3 linked regions of the Ovis aries genome follow. The protein of the gene in region 2 interacts with the protein of the main gene of each other region in a pairwise test. Links are inferred from orthologs where the notes say so. Each region holds a gene or a part of one and is shown on either strand. Other genes may lie near its edges. The genes, in order: FXR1, HSPB1 and WDR83.

Region 1 (3,649 bases), on a different chromosome or scaffold from region 2:
ATTCCACACAGAAACTAAAATTCCAGACAACAGTTAATATGCTACAGTAAAATTACCCAAGGTGGGGGACAAGCAGCATACCTCTCCGTAGATTCTAAATGTTCCAGTATCTTCATCTAGCTCAATAGCTGTAACTCCAGGAACCTTTCTAGCTTGCTGTATATTACTACCATGTGTTCCTATCGCCAGGCCCATCAAATCTTCTCTCACAACAAATTCCTCATGAAAAGCCGCTGCAAGTTGCTTTGTGCACTAGTAAAAGAGGCAAATTAGTATTATAAAAGACAAAAAAAAATTTTTGTACACCCATGTTCATAGCATTATTTACAATAGTCAAGAGGAGGAAGCAACCCAAAGGTCCACTGAATGATGAATGGATAAGCAAAATGTGATATATGCACACAATCAGAATTATTCAGCCCTAAAAAGAAAATTTTGATACATGCTACAACATGGACAAACTGAGAATATTATACTTAGTGAAATAAGCCAGTCACAAAAAGATAAATACTATATGATTCCACTTACAAAAAGGTTATCTAGAGTAGTCAAATTTGTAAACACAAAGTAGAATGGTGGTGGTGTGGAGCTGGGGGAAAGGGAAATAGGAAGTTGTTTAAATGGAGAGAGAGATTCAGTTTTGCAAGATGAAAATGTTCTGAAGATTGACTGATCAACAGTGTGAATATATTTCTCAATACTATGAACTGTACACTTAAAAATGGTTAGGATGGTAAATGTTATGTTTATTCTACTACAATTAAGAAAAAGAAAAGGGAAAAAAGAAAAAAGGTAGTTCACTTGGTCATGTAATGGAAGGGGGAAGTCTGATCATTCTATTTAATCATGGTCACAGAAAACAGTAATTCTAAAACAATTTTCCAGAACTACTCACACACAGAGCTCTCCAACTCAAATGATTCTTATTTCAAAACTCATTCACGTATCACTTGTTTGGAAATTTGAAATTAGTTAAGGGCACTCATGTACTTGTCCTAAAGATAAACAAACCTCAAATTCCCTAAGACTATGCGTGGGAGCACATATATGTGTGGGAGGGAGTAGGGGCAACAAATCACCTAACAATGTGGCAGTAAAAAGTAGAAGAAAACAGGAGTACCTCAGGACAGAACAGAGAAAAGCAATGACAGGCTCTTTTTTAAAACTACAAGCCATGTGACCTCCTCTCTTCTTACCCAAGAGTTGTTATACTAATGAACTAGTTACTAATAAAGTGCATTGACTGATAGCTCACAGGACAATTAAAAAACAGAGTAAAGAACTAGCAATAAAGTTCTACTGGAAATCCCTACTGAGTTTCTAAGCTTTGGCACCATTCAGGTATTTAGCAGCTAAGAGGCTATGTTTGATAAAAGTAATAGAGAAAAGTAACTCTAAGGACACAATAATTCCAGTTATTAGCCATAAAATAGTTCCCAAGTAGCCTTACCTAACAGTCATATAGTTTCAGCCATAGAACTTGAATAATATACTCGGGAAACTAAATGAGAAGCACAAAAAATCTTTTACATGTAAACCCACTTACTTCTAAATGCTTAGTGGCCTCTTCATTTCTGGACATAAGCATCAATTTTGTACGAATACTTCGCAAATGCATGTCACTCAAAATATTTACTCTCTTCACAGTTGCTTCACTGGCAGACTATAAACAAATAAGTTACTAATTCAAAAACTTAAACCCTTTTTTTTAATACAAACACAACCTTCCAAATAAAGCCTCCATTGATTTTCATCTACTGTACTCTCCTTACCTAACATGCACCCCCTCCCACAAATAATCTTACTTGTTTTTTTAATTTCCGTATTACTTAGATCTGCTCTTCAAATTATGATGGGGGGAGGAGGGATATAGAATCCCGGATCCCATACGTTAAGAATTTTATGACGTAAAGAAAGCTGTATTCCGATTTTTCCTCCTTTCTCCAGGAAAGATTTAAAATTAACAATTTTATAACTGCAAAAACTTTTTTCTCCCACATTGTATTCTAATAAAGTCACCATAAAACAAGTTATCCTTTATCTTTGAAATAATTATAAAATATGTACAATGTACAGTTTAATAAAGTGAAAAGTGTTAGTCCCTCAGTCCTGTCTGACTCTTTGCAAACCCCATAGACTGTAGCCTGCCAGGTGCCTCTGTCCATGGAATTCTCCAGGCAAGAATACTAGAGTGGGTTGCCATCCCTTCTCCAGTGGATCTTCCCCACCCAGGGATTGAACCTGGGTCTCCTGCATTGCAGGCAGATTCACAATATTCACTATATACCTCAAAATATGGAGTCATCTTACCAGTATCATTAGCTGTGTTGTTTCTGGATGGTAAAAAATTCTGCATGCTCCTACTGCTTTCTTAAAATCTTTATGTGCATTTTCATTAGCACACCTAAGGAGAGAGTAATTCACGTTTAAGACCGAAACAACAGGTTAAATTTAGAGGGCAATTGTAATGAAAACTCTTGTATTTCATACTGACACCACCCACTGAAAACTTTTGTCTGTTTAAAAACATTTTCTGTCAAAGTTTTAATTGGGTGTTTGGGGTAAAAAAGATTTTTGTTGCACTGAAAAATCCCCTTAATTCACAAAGCAATTCAACAGTAAACAAAATTACTCACGCCTCTCTCAAATCCTCAGGAACATCCACTGTGCATTTAAAGAAGGTATTTTTTTTGACAGTTTTATTTTGATTGACAGGCCGAAGTCGTTCAAATGTGACTATTTCATTGTAAGTGGCATCACAAGCAGCATATTCAATGACATAAAACTAAAAGACATCAAAACACTTTTAAAATCCCATCCAAAAAAAAATAATGACCTTTAAATGAAGTTCTAATTACTTTGCTTGGATTAAGCAGTAGACCCTCCCCCTTGTGGCACAAGTACTAAGCACAGCTTAGTTACATCAACCTGATTTGCCTAAACTAGATTGGAGGTTCTTACAAGCAAGAACTCTGGTGGTCCTCACATGCTTGCAAAATACCTCTGGAGAGCAGCTTTGGTATTTGCAAATCCAGAACACAAACAGAAATGAATGATCTGATGAATTTTTGAAATACATGATTATTTCTGAAATAGGCTTTTTAACAACAAAACTAAGAGTTGGAGTAACAGTTACAGAAACCAAGAGTCAACTTATTTCCTTGAAAATTAATCACAAAGCAAGTTTTAACATAACTTACTTCTCCTTTCATCATTCGAACTTTAGCCAACCACCATCCACATGGTTCTTGATCATTTGCTCTTGAATATACCTGACAGAAAAAAAAAGTGCCCTTATTCATTTATCCCAAAAGATTAACACTGTAAATAATGACTTTTTATAAGTGCAAAATTATGTTAAATTCAAGAATCAAAAAATGTTACTGTGAACAAGATGAAACTGCTACACAAGCGTAATGTAACAAGAACTATATATGCCTAAGGCAGAGGAATCAGAGATCAAATTGCCAACATCCACTGGATCATAGAAGAAGCAAGGAAATTCCAGAAAAACATCTACCTCTGTTTCATTGACTATGCTGAAGCCTTTGACTGTGTGGATCTTAACAAACTGTGGAAAACACTTGAAGAGATGGGAATACCACACCATCTTATCTGTCTCCTGAGAAACCTGTATGTAGGTCAAGAA
Region 2 (3,435 bases):
ACAGGCAAGGTAGGCCCTCCTGCGGCCACTACTTCCCACATCAGGTCTTTGCCTCTCTCTTCCACCAAAACCTAAGCCACACCTGCTCATCACTCTCTGCGGGGCACTCTCAGACCTGAGGACCCAGGTCCCGTGCTGCCTACATGGGCTGGGCTGGGGGAATCGCCCCTCAGAAAGCCGCCAGGGGTGGCCACACCTCCCCTCCAATCTACCTGGTCCAAACCCTCTACGATGAAGTCAGGAATCTGAGCTCCCAGGAAGCCCTCTCCCCCAGCCCTGCCCTGTCTTCCCTCACCTGCCCCCTTGCCCAGGTGGTTCCTGAGTGCCCAAGCCTGGGTCAAGTGCCTCTCATAATTTCCCCTGCTCCCCCTCCAGCCCTGGGCGTTTTAACTCCGGTGAACAATCACTGCTTCTCTCTTAATGAACAAGGGGTACAGGAGGGCAGGGCTGTGCCCAGTGACAGATGATACTGCACCCACAGGACCCAGCCTGGGGCTTGGTGCCCAGCGGGCCCTCAGCAAACATCAAACCAGCACCAACCCTTCTTCCTTCACAAAACCAGCAGGGTCTGAGGCAGTGGCGGGCAGTGGCTTCAAACTTTATTTGAGAAAAACAGAAGGCAAACGTATCAAAAGAACATAGAGGTTTGGCGGGTGAGGATGGTCAGTGATGGCTACTTGTGGGGTGGGCCGCTGGGCAAAGGGCCTTTACTTGTTTGCCGGCTGTTCGGACTTTCCGGCTTCGGGGCCGCCAAGCTGGGCACGCGCCTGGAAGGTGACGGGAATGGTGATCTCGGCAGACTGGGTAGCTGACTTGGGCAACGGGGCCTCCACGGTGAGTGTGCCCTCAGGGGACAGAGAGGAGGAGACCAGGGTGGGATCCACACCGGGGGGCAGCCTGGACGGGCAAAGAGGGTGGACAAGAGTTACACACCAGGGCGTCCCCGCGCGCCCCTCTCCCGCCCGCCGCCCCCCAGATCCGGAGCCAGGACTCACGTGTATTTGCGAGTGAAGCAACGGGAAATGTAGCCGTGCTCGTCCTGCCTTTCCTCGTGTTTGCCTGGGAGGAGGGGGAGGGGAAGTAGGTCAGAGGAGGCGGGGAGGGGCGGCCTAGCCGCTGGCTCGCAGCCCAGCGCGCCCCACCTGCGGGCCAGGACTCCGGGCTGGCAAGACTGACGGAGGGATCTGGGTGCCCGAGACTGTCCCGGGAACTCAGAAGCTTTGGGGAACTCAGAAGCTTTTGGAAAGTTCGGGTTCAGGGGCTTGGCGAGTGGGGGGTGGGGGTGGAAGCGCGGCTCGGGGCAGGCGCACACGCCCCCTCCGCGGACCCGGGCTGGGAGCAGGGACCGTGACGTGGGGGGCATGGGGGGCAGGGCGGCGAGGGCGACGCCCTCTTCATACCGACTGCGGGCCCGGGTGGGTGGGGCGTGGCGGGGGGGCCTGGTCCCTTGGGGGCCAGGTCCTCAGGTCCGAGGGCTGGGGTTGAGGGGAGTCTCCGCTGGAAGGGGGCGTTGCTTTCCTTAGTGGAGACTTTTTAGGGCTAAAAGATCCCTTAGGAACTCCAGCAAACCCCAACTCCAGAGAATACAGACCAGGGCTAGGGCGAAGAGGCCGGGCCCCGCTCTGGGGGCTCCCCGCCTTCCCCCCCACCGCCCGTCCTCGGCTAAGTTTTCACTTTCCAGCGGCCCCCTCTCCCGGCTCCCCGCCCATGTTTCAACCCAGAGCTCTTCCCCGGGACCCGCGAGAGGCGAGGGGCCGGCGTCCCTGGGGCGGGGGCCAGGGGGTGCTTACCAGTGATCTCCACCACGCCGTCCTTGGTCTTGACCGTCAGCTCCTCGGGGGCGAAGTGGTTGACGTCCAGGGACACGCGCCAGCGGTCGGCGGTCTGCTGGATCTCGGAGACCCCGCTGCTGAGCTGTCGGCTGAGCGCGCGGCTGTAGGCGGGACCCTCGATCGCTGCGGCGGGCAGCGGGCGCACGTAGCCCGGCCATCCGCTGTGGCTCAGCCACTGCGACCACTCCTCGGGCAGCCGGGGCAGCCCGAAGGCCTGGTCGAAGAGGCGGCTGTGGGCCGGATACCAGTCGCGGAAAGGGTCCCAGCTGGGGCCCCTTAGGAGCGAGAAGGGCACTCGGCGCTCGGCCATGCTGGCTAGTCTGGGTGCGTCCGGAGTAGGCTCGGAGAAGCGGGAGAAGTGGCGGGCGCCGGACCCCGTAGCGCTTTTATGGGTCTCCAGCCGGGTATTTTTAGCAGGCGGTGTTTCAGGTCTCTATTAATGGCAATGACGGGCCAGGGGGCAGCCCCTCCCCCTGCATTCCCCTCCACTGCATACCGGGGCGCGGGGCGGGGCGAGGAAGGCCCTGCCCACATCTGGAACCTTCTCTTGTTCGAGAAAACAAATGACTAGAGCCTCGATGTCGGAGCACTGCCCACTGCTGGACGCTCGGAGGCCTGGGTGCTAAAGCGCTGGGCCTCTATCTGTGGACAGTCGGGGAGGACAAAGCCGAGAGGGAGAGAGAGAAAGAGAGAAAGAGGTCGAGCAGTGAGTCCCAAGGGGAGAGAGAGAGGTCGAGCAGTGAGTCCCAGGGCGCACAACTAGGAACTGGCAGAGCGAGCCAGGATTTGGAAGGCAGTGTGTCTGTGATATAATGCCTTAAGAAGCAGCGTGGTTAGGGCGGTCTCGGGAGGTAGACCGCCTGAGTTCACATGCAGGTTCTGCCACTCACTGGATGAACTTGTGCAAGTTCAGAGTCTTTTGCCTCAGTTTCCCCATCGGGAAAATGGGATGATGGTGGTGATGATAATGCTTTCATCGCTAGGTTGGTTTGAAGATTCAGCCTCAATGCAAGTAAACATTTTAGTCCAGGGTACACGATAATGAATATATTATCTATATTTATATATAGATAATATATATAGATAATATATTATCTATAATTATTATTAGCCCCTGAAGTTGAAGGAGGGGGCAAGAAGGAAAGCATGTATGTGTCCCTGTTGCAGAGGCAATGGTATGTGTAGGTTTGGCCATTTGCCCACTGAACCCCAGTGGAGTAGACTCAGATCACAAACCTTGAGGGCCAGTACTGAGAAGGGGTCAGGAAGAAGGTTATGGTCAAGTCTCCCCATTATATCTAGTTTTCTGGAGGAGCCCTAGACAGGGGAACTTGAAATGCAGCAACCTTGAATCTAGTCAGGGCTTTGCTGTTTGTGTGATTTGGGCCAATGCTCCTTTCCCTGTTGGCAGGTTATTACCTCGATCCTGTTCTGTTGAATATTCCCGCAGACGGAGAGGGGGCAATTCCTTCAAACTTGCTTGGAGCCTGAGGCCGGCCCCTCCTCCGATCTGACCGCCTGTGAGATCCACGCCCCCACTACCCGCTCTGGGAAAAGATGCTGCCCCTAGCTTCCTGCCATAATCCTAACAATCTCTCTCTCC
Region 3 (3,749 bases), on a different chromosome or scaffold from region 2:
CTTAGGATCGGCCACGGAAAACATACACTGAAGTGAACTCAAGAGTGGAATTCTGGGACTTCCCAGGTGGTCCAGTGGCTAAGACTCTGAGTTCTCAATGCAGGAGGCCTGGGTTCAATCCCTGGTCAGGGAACTCCATCCAACATGCTGCAACTAAGACCCAATGCAGCCAAATAAGTAAATTAAAAATAAGTATTAAAAAAAAAGTGGAATTCTGAGGCAATGGCTTTAAGACTCAGACCCAAGGGCCAATCAAGTCCCATTCCATCTATTTCTGCTTTCTACTGAGCTCCCTCTCTGGGCCAGACCCTGTGCAGAGACTTGGAACACAGCTGCTACCAAGACAGGAGCACTTGCTGCCAACGTGGAACCTCACTGACTGAGGGGCATCAGCTCCCAGGAGGTGACATTGGAATTGAGACTTGAGGCTGAGAAAGGAGCCAACCATGTTCAGTTCAAGGGGGGATGTGTGGGAACTGGGTGGGCTGACAAGCCAAGCAGTCCAAACACCCCAAGTGGTGGGATTAGCACTCCTGCAGGTTGTGGCAACACTTGGGCAGCCCTGCATGGGAATTTTTTTTAAATTGTCTCCTGCAGCTAGACTGTCAAATCTATGTAGGCAGGGGTTTTCCTTGTTTTTCTGTCTTGTTCACTGCTGTATGCCCACTGACTAAAAATGGGACCTGTAGGAGGTACTCAGACACACTCTAAGTAGTATAGGAATGGTCCAGGTGGAGAAAGGGCAATTGCATGTTGGTCCCAGAGTGGAAGCATGTGTGGCATATTTAACAGAAATTAGCTGCAATACTTTGGTCACCTGATGCCAAGAGCCGACTCATTGGAAAAGACCCTGATGCTGGGAAAGACTGAGGGCAAGAGAAGGGTGCGACAGAGAATGAGATGGTTGGATGGCATCACTGACTCAACGGACATGAGTTTGAGCAAACTCCAGAAGATAGTGAAGGACAGGGAAGCCTGGAGTGCTACAGTGCATGGGGTCGAAAAGAGTTGGACATGACTTAGCGTCTGAACAACAACCACATAAAAGCTGAGAGCACAACAGAGACCAGACCATGCAGGGCCTTATGAGCACAATGAGGAGAGTAGATTTTTAAATCTAAGTACAGAGACCGCTCTGAACCTCAGTGGCACCTGGTGAGCGACAAGGTCCTGGTCCCACTCACCCTGCGAGGACCTCATGGTCTGACACCTTCACGCTGGATATACCATCTCTGGCTTCGTCCAGGGTCTGTATTGGCTCAGGTTTCCGAGAGCGACAGTCCCAGCAGCGGATGGTGGAATCGATAGAGCCTGTAAGGCCAGCATGAAGGTGGATCAGGTTTAGGGGGCAGAGACAGTCTCCTGGGCCCACCTAACAAGGCCTTGGACTCACCAGACAGGATAACTGTGGCCTCTTCATTAAACTGCACTGTGTTCACCTTCTGCGAAACAGGAACTGCCACTTAGAGGATGAGGACAAAAGCAAGGTTCCCAGTGCAAGTTAAAGCAAAGGAAAAAGGTTAAGGGTAGGGGAGATCAAAGAGTTGGGGGGAACTGCAAGGATGGGGCTTGATGAAGCGGGGGCCATGGGGAAGGATACTTGCGCTGTATTGCGGGGGGGGGGGAGAGAGCGGATCCCTGTTACCACCCACATGCAAATCAGTTAATGAGACCCCTTCTTGCTTGCACTCACCCCCGCGTGGCCCCGGAATTTCCGCACGACTTGCCCTGACGCCACATCCCACAGCACCACCGCCTTGTCCCCACCTCCAGAGCAAAGACTGCTGTTATCAAAGGAGCTAGAAGGCAGAGCATAGAAAATTTAGCATCTGCTTCTGTTCCTGGCCTCAGCGCCCCGATCCCGCCTTGGCCCCCCGGCTCACCCAGCCGCGTCCAGCACCTCGTAGCCGTGGCCGCTGTACGTCCGCAGTAACGTCCCCCGTAGCGGGTTCCACAGCTTCAGGGTCTTGTCGCTGCCGCAAGTTAGACAGTAATTGCCATCCACTGGGGAACACCAGGCGGGGTTACTGGGCCGCCGACCTTAGGAGGCGGGAGGAGGACTCGGAAAGAAGATCAGGGCGCTCACCATTAAATCGCACAGCTCGAACCGCCCCCTGCCCGCAGTCCAACGTCTTCAACCGTTTCTGCGGCAGCTCGGGGCCCCGCGGTTTGGGCTCAGGGAAAGCCATCCCTCGGCTTTCCCTTCCTCGCCACCTCACACGCACCGGCACGGAAGCATTCCTTGCCCTGGGAGGGTGTAACCTTATTATTGTCCTCCATAGTCTACTTCCTACTTCTCACTTCCGGGTTCTACATTTAGGCTCTTTGGAGATAGTGTTGGAAACACTGAAACTTGTCTCCAGCTTCCCAGTTTCTTTCCCCACTTCTGGTCTTCTAGGAGCATTTTTGGCTTCTCCGAATTCTCTGTCCCCTGGCTGGGGGTAGTTCCGGTAACCGTCGATAGGAACGGAAGCGCGAGGGCTGAGAGTGTTACTCTAAAAACTTTCCTGTGTTTCCAAGCTGGAAGCTGCCGGAAGCTGCGATTCCCGCAGCGGAAGAGGCGCGACTTCTGACTCGCTATGTCCGCGAACAGTATGTCGGACCCACGGAGGCCCAACAAAGTGCTGAGGTGAGGCTCCTAGTTGTCATGGTGTTAAAAAAAAGAAAAAGATTCAGCTGTAAACTTGAATGATATAATTGGCTTTACCAAATGAATCATAAATTGGACAACATCCCATCTAGCAAGTAGAGGGAAGCGCTAAAGAGCTACAGAAACGAAAAGGTTATTTAAAGGCAGGACAAGGAAGTCATAAACAGAAAAAAGGATGATTTCAGATTATATTAGTTTCCTTTTGGGGAGAAAAGGGTCTTATTAGGTGGAGGTTACCTCATTTTCCTTTTGAAGGATGAAGAGGGGAGAGAACCTAAGTGACTGCCTCATTGGTGCTGACCAGAAAATTCGTGACTGACCGATTAAGACTGCATTTCTGGAGGAAGTTGAAGCTTCTATTAGGTTAGATATTAAGCCCCGATTTGGTAGCTTGGCCAAGTACAAATTTTTGGACCTGTGGTATTCTTTTTAACAATCCTCCCTGTCTTCCCCCCTCCCCCCTCCCAATCAGAGTCTCTCTAACTGAGAGATGTGATCAAAACTTAAGGCATGAGCGCCACTCTCAGCTGCTACTCTGAGGTTCTCTTAGTTTTTGTTGTTCTTTTGCATGCTATCCATAGTTAACCCCTGTGATAGTCACAGGTCCTTGCTGGCTTCAGGTTCACAGTCTCTGAGTTGGTTATTCTCTTGTTATTTTTCTGATGTTCTAGTCATAGGGAGATCTTTTGCTTGATGATTAGTGGCTGTGATTATGCATTTAAAGCTTCTGGGAGAATACAGTGCCTTCAGTTCAGTTGCTCAGTCGTGTCCAACTCTTTGTGACCTCATGGGTTGCAACACACCAGGCGTCCCTGTCCATCACCAACTCCCAGAGCTTGCTCAAACTCACATCCATCCAGTCGGTGATGTCATCCAACTATTTCATCTTCTGTCCTCCCCTTCTCCTCCCGCCTTCAGTCTTTCTTACCATCAGGGTCTTGTCCAGTGAGTCAGTTCTTTGCATCAGGTGGCCAAAGTATTGGAGTTTCAGCTTTAGCACCAGTCCTTCCAGTGAATATTCAGGACTGATTTCCTTTAGGATGGACTGGTTGGATCTCCTTACAGTCCAAGGGGCTCTCAAGAGTCTTCTCCAACACCA

Evidence for each region.
Region 1: the proteins of HSPB1 (region 2) and FXR1 interact in a two-hybrid assay, tested with the Homo sapiens proteins (2 studies listed by BioGRID and IntAct). The link is inferred for Ovis aries from reciprocal best matches to the Homo sapiens genes HSPB1 and FXR1.
Region 3: the proteins of HSPB1 (region 2) and WDR83 interact in binary tests that used the Homo sapiens proteins (3 or more experiments, as listed by UniProt). The link is inferred for Ovis aries from reciprocal best matches to the Homo sapiens genes HSPB1 and WDR83.

The regions. Positions count from the first base shown.
Region 1 is NC_056054.1:206,905,597-206,909,245, forward strand, and holds part of FXR1 (RNA-binding protein FXR1), read right to left. Parts: intron 3,273-3,649; coding exon 3,201-3,272; intron 2,786-3,200; coding exon 2,637-2,785; intron 2,405-2,636; coding exon 2,311-2,404; intron 1,664-2,310; coding exon 1,547-1,663; intron 253-1,546; coding exon 82-252; intron 1-81. UniProt on the Homo sapiens protein: mRNA-binding protein that acts as a regulator of mRNAs translation and/or stability, and which is required for various processes, such as neurogenesis, muscle development and spermatogenesis.
Region 2 is NC_056077.1:34,787,841-34,791,275, reverse strand, and holds HSPB1 (heat shock protein beta-1), read right to left. Parts: upstream 2,193-3,435; 5' UTR 2,143-2,192; coding exon 1,791-2,142; intron 1,060-1,790; coding exon 996-1,059; intron 898-995; coding exon 708-897; 3' UTR 583-707; downstream 1-582. UniProt on the Homo sapiens protein: Small heat shock protein which functions as a molecular chaperone probably maintaining denatured proteins in a folding-competent state. Plays a role in stress resistance and actin organization.
Region 3 is NC_056058.1:11,122,477-11,126,225, forward strand, and holds the start of WDR83 (WD repeat domain-containing protein 83), read right to left. Parts: upstream 2,232-3,749; 5' UTR 2,190-2,231; coding exon 2,087-2,189; intron 2,005-2,086; coding exon 1,884-2,004; intron 1,800-1,883; coding exon 1,694-1,799; intron 1,443-1,693; coding exon 1,394-1,442; intron 1,312-1,393; coding exon 1,185-1,311; intron 1-1,184. Other genes in the region: WDR83OS (PAT complex subunit Asterix), read left to right, coding at 2,580-2,629. UniProt on the Homo sapiens protein: Molecular scaffold protein for various multimeric protein complexes. Acts as a module in the assembly of a multicomponent scaffold for the ERK pathway, linking ERK responses to specific agonists.